Drosophila melanogaster: one gene and its partners. The protein of the gene in region 2 interacts with the protein of the main gene of each other region in a pairwise test. Each region holds a gene or a part of one and is shown on either strand. Other genes may lie near its edges. The genes, in order: CG6290, CG42495 and Spase25.

Evidence for each region.
Region 1: the proteins of CG42495 (region 2) and CG6290 interact in a two-hybrid assay, tested with the Drosophila melanogaster proteins (one large-scale study listed by BioGRID).
Region 3: the proteins of CG42495 (region 2) and Spase25 interact in a two-hybrid assay, tested with the Drosophila melanogaster proteins (one large-scale study listed by BioGRID).

Annotation. Positions count from the first base shown.
Region 1 is NC_004354.4:18,435,383-18,438,782, forward strand, and holds CG6290 (uncharacterized protein), read left to right. Parts: upstream 1-2,107; 5' UTR 2,108-2,121; coding exon 2,122-2,769; 3' UTR 2,770-2,851; downstream 2,852-3,400. Other genes in the region: CG32548 (uncharacterized protein), read right to left, coding at 481-1,419.
Region 2 is NT_037436.4:18,665,212-18,668,637, reverse strand, and holds CG42495 (uncharacterized protein), read right to left. Parts: upstream 1,278-3,426; 5' UTR 1,204-1,277; coding exon 1,059-1,203; intron 991-1,058; coding exon 845-990; intron 792-844; coding exon 654-791; 3' UTR 503-653; downstream 1-502. Other genes in the region: MYPT-75D (myosin phosphatase targeting subunit 75D), read right to left, coding at 2,384-2,940.
Region 3 is NC_004354.4:11,483,207-11,486,962, reverse strand, and holds Spase25 (spase 25-subunit), read right to left. Parts: upstream 1,714-3,756; 5' UTR 1,571-1,713; coding exon 1,532-1,570; intron 1,403-1,531; coding exon 842-1,402; 3' UTR 397-841; downstream 1-396. Other genes in the region: CG33235 (uncharacterized protein), read left to right, coding at 1-194; Uba5 (Ubiquitin-like activating enzyme 5), read right to left, coding at 1,984-2,917, 3,029-3,309. UniProt on the Drosophila melanogaster protein: Component of the signal peptidase complex (SPC) which catalyzes the cleavage of N-terminal signal sequences from nascent proteins as they are translocated into the lumen of the endoplasmic reticulum.

The DNA of each region.
Region 1 (3,400 bases), on a different chromosome or scaffold from region 2:
GCATTTATTGCACGTGAGCTCGGCGGCGTGTTAAAGATGAGCGTTGCCGATTAGGAATGACCCATCATTAGCCATGATGAATCTGGTAAGTGGGGCCAGTTAACTGACCAGCTAGATTCCACGGAGCACGTGCCGATGGTTTATTAGTAATGAAATGCTGTTGGGTCATATAGGATGGATTTGGGCTAATTAAGCAACTAACTAGAGTACATAACTCGAGGCCAGAAGTGCACATTCAAACTCTTCTTCAGGCAAATCTAACCCTCGTAACTTCGTAAGCCATAATCACCATTTGATAAGCCTGAAATGCATCCACCCCTCTAAAAACCAACAATTATCATCACTTACAAAATTTATTCTTGCTTGCCCTAAACAATTCCTCTTATCAAATACCACGAAAATTTACGCAAAAAAAAAGGTGTGTGAAAAAAAAATGAAAATACTAGTTTTGGAAGTCCTTGGAATAACAGCTCATCATCATTAGAAGCTGTAGTTGAGATTGCCGCTTGAGAAGCTCACATGAGAGACGTCCGGCGATTGCTGGTAGGTGGGGGATCCCAGCACGGAGGACATGGGAACGGCCATCCCATAGCTCTGGCGGGTGGTGGGCGCCAACTGGCTGGTGGCGAACTGATGGGCCACCGACTGCTGCTGGTCACGGAGCACGTCCTGCTGCTGCTGCTGCATGAAGCCCATGTGCTGTTGCGTGGAGTAGAAGTCTCCACTTGCTCCCCCTCCCAGACTGTTGGAGCGCAAAGGCGCTGATCCGATCACTCCTCCCGGGATGACTCCAACTGGACCTCCTCTTACTGGACCTCCGGGCACAATGGATCCGGATGCAAGGCGCTCGGGCTGCAGGCCATTGTTGCTGAACTGCGGCCGACGGTAGGCGAAGCGGCCAGCTGCGTTCTGTGCTGCCACGCCCGCCGGAGCGCCTCCCACATCGGCGGGAGCAGCTATCTGGGGGGTTTGGGGTTGAATCTGATGAGCCGGTGATGTTAGGCCGCCGGATACATCGGGATAGTAGTGGTAGAGCTTCTGCAGCAGGTGCTGCTGCTGCTGCTCGAACTCGGCTCGTTGGCGCTGATAATCGAGGAAGGCGGCGTGCATCTGGTCCGCATAGCTGGGCATGTTGACCACGCCACCGCTAACGCCCACTCCTGGTCCGGATGCAGCTGCTACCTGCGGCGATGTGGCGGCCAGGAGTTGCTGCTGCTGCTGCGCCAGGAGCTGCTGTTGCTGCTGTTGCTGCTGTTGCTGCTGTTGCTGCTGTTGCTGCTGTTGCTGCTGTTGCTGCTGCTGGAGCAGCGAGTTGGGCGTGACCTTCAGCTTACCATCGGCCCGGAATCCTGGCTGCGAGTACACGGCAGGATACTGCTGTCCCGACGGCGAGAATCCACCAAATTGCGTGGGAGTTTGCTGCATAGGTTAGAGGAATAAACGGATGAGAATGGAAGCTAAACCAGGACAATTTTATCCTTATTCTGAACTGGCTTAAATGATATTTAGATGAGTGTCTAATGTGCGCAAGTAGTAGGCCGTTTTCGATGTGTAACTTTTGATTTCGTTTTGTAAAATATTCATACAATTGAGCTTATAACACGCTTTCCTTTACTCACGGATGAAAGGCCACGCCCGTGATTCTTGATAATTGAGTGCTGGGAACCCAGGCATCCCTTTCCCCACTGTCCCTCCGCGTCAGCCAATCGACTGGCGTTGCCCCCACGAACTTTGCTGGATCTCATGATTCCCTGTTGTTCCGTTTGTCGCGATGTAAACTTAAAAGTTTTGACGAGAGGTTGTGTAGCTCGAGTGTGGATAGCCAAAAATTGATTTTCAAATTCAGATTTTGATACAATTTGTTTACGAAGTCTGTAGCGGGAAAAATTGTAAAACGAACCGATCTGAACCGACTGAGCGAGCAAGTGATACTGACTGGATAGCTCAACCAGTCCGGTGACACCTGACAGCTGTCGTCGGGCCAATCCGAAAGCCTACTGTGATCTCTACTAGCCATCGGTGCCATGGTGTGGATTCAAATCGATATGTATCGAAGGGAATCACGCGATTCGATGGCTTAAAAAGCGCGGATGCAATGCCGCAACCTTACAGTTAGAAACGATGAATCGCCATCAGCTGGCACTTCTCCTGGTTGTCGCGGGTCTGGCCATGATTGCGGCCAGGCCAGGTCCACAGAATCCGCTAGAGTCGCTGGGCATGGGCGCCATGTCTCTGGCCGGAAATATAGCGGAGGCAGTTCAGAGTGGCGCCGCCATCTCCCGCGACGTCGACATTGACAATCCCCTGATGTCCGTGCACTCGAAAACGGCCGTTGGCTATGGAGATGCCATACGTCCCATTGCCACCGATTCATCCGAGGAGGATCGTCGTCGGAAGCGAAGGCGGCGGAGCCTGCATCGCCTCAAACGCGCTCCTTGCTTCTGGAAAATGAGCGCTGCCGCCACCACAGCGGCGTCCGCCGACGATGACGTGGAGGCCAGACGGAGACGAGCTCAAAAGCGGGCCGCCAACAATGCCTCCCGATCCCGAGTGAGTCCCAAGACCACTGGCAAAAAGAACAAGAAGTTGGTGCGACGACGACGGCAGGAGGAGAAGGGCATGGAAGTGACACAGAATATGGACGGAGCGGATCCCTTGGGCCTGGGCACCAGAATCAAGGCCATGTGGCTTTCGTTTGTGAACAACGTAGCGGATGTGGTGCAGCAGGTGCGCCAGAAGATCACCGAAACGGCCAACTCCACGGCGTAGAATCACCGAGCTCCCTGACGACCACCATCGAGTGTATTTTTTTTGTTTGTTTATAAGTGCAATAAAATCAACTGAAAACCGGAAACTGTGTTGAGCGGCATGTTTTCTGGGTTGGCCAAAAACATTACGATTACGTCTTCATTCAAATATGTACTATAGATTACATCCATTTTAAGACCCCATCATATTATCAATGTAGTAGCCAATTAAGGCCAATCACCTTTGGTAAAAGGTGACCCCAAACGGCATTAGAGTCAAAAAAAACGTGTACTCCGTCTTTAAACTACAAATGCTTGTGAGCTCAACTAAACATATCACCAAGGTGACCCAAAACTTGGAATCCGGTTACCATTTTAAAGTGGCATACCTTTAAGAACTCAACCTTATTTGTTGCTCTTTAAAAAGGTCACCGCCGAAGAGTCACCCCCAATCGATAAAGATTCCTCAGGCAGAGGCAATAAAGCAAAAAGCGAACTGTCATTTCTGAGCAATCCGATCGAAAGTGGTCCGAGGAGAAGGCCATTGGGGTCACCACAGCAACTCGACTACTGAAGGCTGTCCAGATGGGAGATACGGAAACGAGCCGAGTCACGATGAGCCAACGGTCAGTGGGCACTTCCGGGCCAGATGA
Region 2 (3,426 bases):
GATAGGACAGGACACAACACTACTTCGTCCAAGGAAAACAAACGACAGATGGGCAAAACTTGTATGTAACTTGGATCTGCCATTTCTTGCTTGATTTTACTTTTTGTCTGTTTGGCTGCGTTGAAGCTGATTGATGATTACAGATGTCGAGAGAAAGAATATAAAAAGTATTTATACGTCTTAGCAATTAAATAACGATTCTGAATTATAAAAATTAATTACTATTACCTATATATATAAACGAAGGGATAAATATATTTATAGTTTGTGCTCTTACTGTCATGCTCTATCCCATTTCAACACCTTTTTTTGTTCTGCCAAACTTTTACACACAAACGATGAAAACAAAAATACAAAACCACGTAAAACATAATAGTTGTAATTATTGCCGCGTGAATGAAGAAGCGTGCACACTAACAGTGCATTATAAATGAAATGAAAACTATGTATTTGCAAAACAGTACATACATTAAACAAAAGTATATAAACCATTCGTTTTTTTGGACTAATTGGGGTTCCCAACATTTTTATATTTTAAAGTTACAAATGGAAAATTAAGTTTCTTTAACTATTTTTATCCCTGCTTCAGAAAGTTATATGGCAAATGAAAAATGTGTATAAAAGAAGCTAATCTTAAGCAAATCCCATTCCTACTATTCCATTTTGTCCTGCTTTTCGGACTCGACTGTTCCTCCGTCGCAAAGAAACCAAAGACCAGCCAGAATGAGAGTTATTCCGATGCCAGATAGTACTGTCAGTGGCTCCCGATAAACAAGCGCACCTAGGACAAACTATATAACGAACAGTAATCATAATTGAACAAATAGATCGGTGGATCACCTACCGATAAGACATAATTCGAAGCGGCAGTTAAAACGACGCACGTTAAAGTTTGTTCAGTCATTTGCAGGGCCTTCAAAAAGAAACGCAAGTTGCAAACGTTGCATGTTACCATTAACACTAGTGGCAGCAGCTGAAGTAATGCTATTTCTAATAAATAAAATAAAATTTTATAAATTTATAAACATTTTGCTTGTTTGAAGAAATCACAATCTTGCCTAAATAAGAAAAGTCTTCATTTATTTGCGAAGTATTCAGTAGTTTTTGGGCGCTCAGGTGGCTGGGAAGTTTTCCGAAAAAGCTTCCTGCAGCTGCGAAGGAGCCAGCCACCAAACTGTATCGATATTTTGCGAGTGATTCCATTAGGTTAGATCTTTAAACTTATAAGTTTAAACCAATAAAAATGTAAACAAAAGTCGAACGAGGCAACAGCTGATGCGCAAAGCTGCCAACTTACTTCCATATGACAAGCTTGCGGTTCATTAAAATCCCGCCAGGTGGAGCACCTTGGCGCGAGATTTAAAAGAGTAGATATTTACTTCAACTTCATTCTTCATAAGAAATATAAGCACAGGAATATAAAAAACTAACTGGCGCAAAATCAAATCAAATTTGTGTGTAATTTTTTCGTATTTCATTTGTTTATTTTACAAAACGTTCAGCTAATGCCTTGACATTCATCGAAAAAGTCTCATTTGCTAATTGCGCGTTGTTTTTGCATCTTTTGGAATTGTGTAGGTTTATATACAAAGACCGCTGCTACATAAATAATACATATATTCTTGTACCTCTCAACAAAACTCAACTTACATAACGCAGAGCAAAGTAGTTGCATTAAAAAATAAATCTCTATGCCGCCTGGCATTATTAACATTCCTTCAATTCAAACATTTAGACACTTATATGTGGAAATTGCTTGAGTGCTATGCATTTCGTCTCATTGCTTTGCTTTACTTTGCTGTCACGGTTTAACTACAATTTTGCTATCGTACTATATATTTAGTTAAATATTTACTTGTTGCATAATACTTCGCCTGTTTCGGTTGTAACACTCACACACGGAAACACAGATATTCCTAATGCACTCCAAGCAAATCTATTAAGTTAGGTTCTTACTTAGCATTGCTATATAAATATTTTTTGATGTTTTTTCATTTTGATTTAGTTAGTTGTTATATATCGCCTAAGGTAAACTGCTCACAATTATTTTATACGTAATTCTTTTAATATTCTTTAAAATGTATACATATGGTTGTATATTTGTATAAATTTGTTTCGTATAATTGGTTGTGTGTGTCTTTAGTGTGTTGTTGTGTCTGCTAGGAAAATGCAACGACTTTCAGCCGTTATCTAGGAGCTCACAGAATCGAACCCCGTTCTCAAAACCAACATGCATTTGTGTAATCAACATTCAACAATTCACTCACTGAATACGGCTAATCTAATAAAAAGACACTTTTTTCTTGCCATTTAACAAATGGCCTATCCCTCTGACAATTCTGGCTGCTCTAATACCCTGTGACTCTAGTAGTTCGCTAAGTTTCTACATCAGGACGCAACACCTGCGACTGGAACTGGTGCTATCGGTGACCACGTCGCCAGTGATGCCGCTGAACTTGTTCAGCGAACTGCCCGCCGGCGAGGAGCCCTCGAAGTCGGATAGCACGCTTCCCGCGCCCATGTGACCCAATGTTGGCTGCGTCGAGATCGGTGCGGATCCGTTGTTGTTGTTGTTGCTGGTGCTCAGGTTGTTGTTGTTGTTGCTGCTGCTGCCGCCGGCTCCTAAAACAGAACCATTAGTTGTTGTGGCATTAGCTGCTGCAATTGGATGGGCATTGCTAGCTGTTTGGGATGACAATTCGAAAGTATTGAGGACATTGGCGGTGCGTGAAAGCGAGCGTTGCTTCTTCAAATTGGCCAATGTGGCGCTGTAGCCATCCAAGGCAACATGCTGCTGCTGCTGCTGCTGTTGCTGTTGCTGCTGATGTTGCTGAAGCTGCTGGTGTTGCTGCAACAGCAGTACGTGTTGCTGGTGGTGGTGTTGCTGCTGCTGCTGCTGCTGCTGTTGATGTTGCTGATGGTGGTGCGTGCTATTGGTGTCTGGATGTTGGAAGTTTTTGGCAAGGCGTTGGGTGTGTTTGGTGTTTAGTGGTGCGGTGGTTGTTGTTTTTATTGTTGATGATGATGCGGGCAGGCAGACGACACAGAACGGGCGAAACGAGGCACAACAACGACAACAAAAAAGAATGAAACGGAAACAAGCAAATGTTATTTTACTTTTCTTCTCTTCTTTTCCCGAGAACTAAGTTAGCAGATACCCATTGACCAATTGGGAGTGATCGGGTAGATGGGATGGAGGTTACATGCGAGTCAAATGCTAATGCTTATTGCAGCCATGCTCCCCTGTTTTCTAAGTACGATTTCTAGTATCAGAAAACCCATTTAGTGTAGTAAGCTATTAAAATGGCAATAATTTACATAAATAGTAATATATGCTTACGCTATTCCACTTTAGGCATTTAAATAAAGAAGTCATTTACAAAGCATATTTACAACATAATGAAATAAAAAGTATCTTACTACAAC
Region 3 (3,756 bases), on a different chromosome or scaffold from region 2:
TAAAGACGGCCAAGGATACAATGGCAGCAAAGGTGTTAGAAAAGCAGATGATTATGAAAAAGAAAATGGCCCAGAAGATGTCAGAAATTGAGGCTTTGGAAAGACATAAGAAATATGTAGAAATTAAAGAGAAGATGGTAATGGGAAATGGGAAAAGGAACCGTAGTGCCCCATACAGATATCTGAAAAAATAAAAAGATGATGATGACAAAGGAAGCCGGAGCGCCGCAGGAAGAAGGTCAAAAACACTCGGATTTCTGGGTACACTTGGATTGGGACATCTCCACATTGTGAATAAATATAATAACAAATAGAATAATCTTTTAAAAACACATGAGTTAGTCGTACATATAGACTTTACATTACGTACATTACTCTCTTGTAGCCAAAATCTTTAGTATGTCACAAATATGAGCTTTTGGAATATAAAAACATTGATATATATATATAAACGTTTTGACATCGACAACTCCCAATTTTGATGTTTAACTTCTGGGAAGGCAGCCAGGTTAAATATGGAATTAATATCAATGGCCTTATCAGCGCAATATGGGTTTCCCCATCGCCGCCAGTTCCAGTTTGGGCACCCTCTCCTCTTCCTCTGCCGCCACCGGAATCCCCGCCCTCTTAACTTTTAGATTTTTGCAGCTGAACCCATGAAATTATAATAAAATAGTCCACAAATCATTGGTTAAGTTTCTATCAGATTCAGACAATTTATGTTAAGCTGTAAATCAAAGAATTCATTTTATATTATAGTTTTTCCGCTTATTACAAAAGACAAACAGTCGGCTTACCACAAAAGTGTACAATTTAATGAGACAAAAGTGGGGAATTTGGTTTAATTAGAAGAAAGGCTGCTAGCGTTCTTCTTGTCGGCAGCTAAGGCGTTGAACAGACGGTTGACCTCGTTGGCCACCAGGTTGTCCAGGACGATGCCATTCTGATCGATGAAGGCGGCGCACGACTTGTTGCTGCTCTGCTCGCGCCGCTTGCCATTTTTCGTGTCGCGAACACTGAGGGTCAGCAGGTACTTGTCGTCGTACTTGCGCATATCGGAGCTGGCCTCCCACAGGCGCTCCCGCTCCTTGTCCTTCTGCAGGGCCACCGCAAAGGTGCCCTTCTCGCGGAAACTGGAGTGCAGGGTCAGAATGCCGAGGAGTGCAAAGTAGGCCAAAACACTGAAGAGGAGCACTGGACGGGATTCCGGGAAGGGGTGGGTGAAGTCCCAAGCATGGGCCATTATAGCCACGGAAACGGCGAGGGCGCAGAGGGCCAAACGGGTGTTGACCAGGCCGAATTGCTCCTTCAGCTGGGGACGATCGCCAAGGAGGCAGGTTTTCACTGCATCATCGAGGGCGTGCTTCACTGCGGATCCATCCCACTTGTTGACCTTCACCAGCTGGCAGGGCACATGAAACAGGATGGAGTTAGTTTATGCACATATTCACTTAGTTTACATTTACATTCTACAATGACGTGGAACACATCTTAATGGACCAAATGCCAAGCCGGCAACCGGTTTACTCACCTCCTCGCCTTGCTGTGACTTTTCATCCTTCTTGCCCATCTTCTATCTGCTCTCTATTGTGTTTTGATGCCCTTGATTTCCAAGAGAAGTTTGCGAAATGCTCAGAAAAACTCTTTTTTCTTTTTTCAGGAGTTTTCTTCGTTTTTGTGTGACAACGCGACAACAAAATTGTCAATCGTTATCGCTGCCAATCGATAACGGACTAGTTGACCGTGCTGCCAGATAGGGGAAGCTTAAAATACTGAAATACTAGAAACTGCAAGAATTGAAATTTCCCGCGTAATTCAAATAATTTTGAGCATAAAGCATTTAATCAAGTGACTAAAAGTTACTATATATAAATAAATAAAAAATGGCTCGGCCCAAGTTTTACACAAATCGAAGCTGAGTTTATCAAAAAAAAAGTGTGTGTTTTACAAAAAGTGTCTATAAATACGGAGTACGGAATCAATTTACATGGACTTCATTTGCGCCATCAGGTCTTCCAGACTGGTTTCGTCCGCGGTAGCTGCAGATACAGTTTCCTCTGACGTTTCGCTGGACTTCTCAGGAGCCTCGTAGGCGAGCCTCAGCCCTTCACCCATCACTGGGGTTTCGGCGGGCGTTGTATTACTTTCTGGCGCATCCTCGGCGACCAGTTCGATGCCCCATTCGTTGGTGGCATGCAGCGGCTCTTCGCTGACTGCCTTCTCTTCGATCAGCACAGGTTTGGGCCTGGCTTGGAACTCTTTTTGCCGAACTAAACAGTTTCTGTCATCGCACTGCGGATTCGGTTTGAGCGTCATCTTGGGAAAGAAGTCGCTAAGGGCATTGTAGCCCAGATAGTCAGAGACCTCGCCGAAATTCAGCAGATACTTTAATGCGTTCTGGACAAGGAAGCCAGCCGTAATGCCCATAGTTGTGGGCAATGAAGCGGCGCACACGCCCTCTCTCTTCAGCGTCTTCTCGTCGATGTTCTCGGCCACCACCAAGGGTGGTGCACAAGCGAAACAGGCGGTATCGCCAGGACGGATAAACTGAATGTGCCCCGAGACGGCATTTTCCGAAACTCCCGACTCAAACCAGTTGAGATTGCGTTCATTGCACGCTGCATTGATTGCCATTCGTGCCTCAAAATTGTCCACACAGCTGAGCACCAGATCCACCGGCTGGCCAGCTATCCGTCCGCCCTGCGATATTGTGTCCAGGAAGCGATCAAAGTTCTCCACCGTTGTAATATTGTAGTTGTGCGTCTCAATCTCCACGTCCGGATTGATAAAGCTCAGGGTAGCGGCGGCGGCCGCAACTTTGGAGAGGCCCGCCTGATCGGGCGTAAAGAACAGTCTGTTCATGTTGGCCAGCTCCACTTTGTCGTAGTCGAAGAGTATCAGTTTGCCAATGCCGCAGCTGCAGGAAATCAATTGATTAATACATAGCCTTTAATTAAAGACAACATATTTGGAGTGCTAGCTGTGGTGCACAATGACTGTTGCCCTTCTCTTCTTGTTGTGCACGCACCGTGTAAGCATGTCGGCGGTGACGCTTCCCACGCCGCCCACGCCCACAATGGCCACCGCCTTGTAGCGAATGCGCTCGTAGTCCTTGACGATGTTCATCCGCTGCAGGGCCATCAGGCGGCTGTACGGATTGGAGTCCACCACCTCGGCGGACATGCGATCGATGCGATCGCGTGCCAGGCGGCTGTTGCTAGCGACGCCGCCACTGGATTTCGGCTCCGTCTCCAGCTCCGTCTTCAGATCGGCGATGATCGCCTGCAGTTCGTCGATGGCGTGCGACATTCTGGCTTTGGGGTGGCTCCAGTTTCTGGCTCGTGTGTTTGGCTATGGACGCCAGCAATTGTTAATTGTTAACTTTCGCTTTTAAGCTGGTTGTCGCCGTGTCACTTTTGACCAGTGCTGCCAGATGGCCAAATTAGTTTGGTACTTGCGTTAGATGGGATGGGGCAACGCTGCATGTTAGTGATGGCCGAGGGTCGATAGTTATATACCAAAAATATACCAATTTACATTGCCAGCTGGTACAGTGTTGGTTAATGCTACGAATGGCGCGCATATTTGAATTTTAAGACGCATAAAATAGAAGACGAGTAATAACAGCAACCAAATGGCTGTCAACTCCATTTGCTGTATGAAAACATTTAAATTTCCCACTAAAATCCATTTGTATAATTACACAAAAGATTTATTGTCAAAATCATTACACACAAATAGGTATTATAATTATTA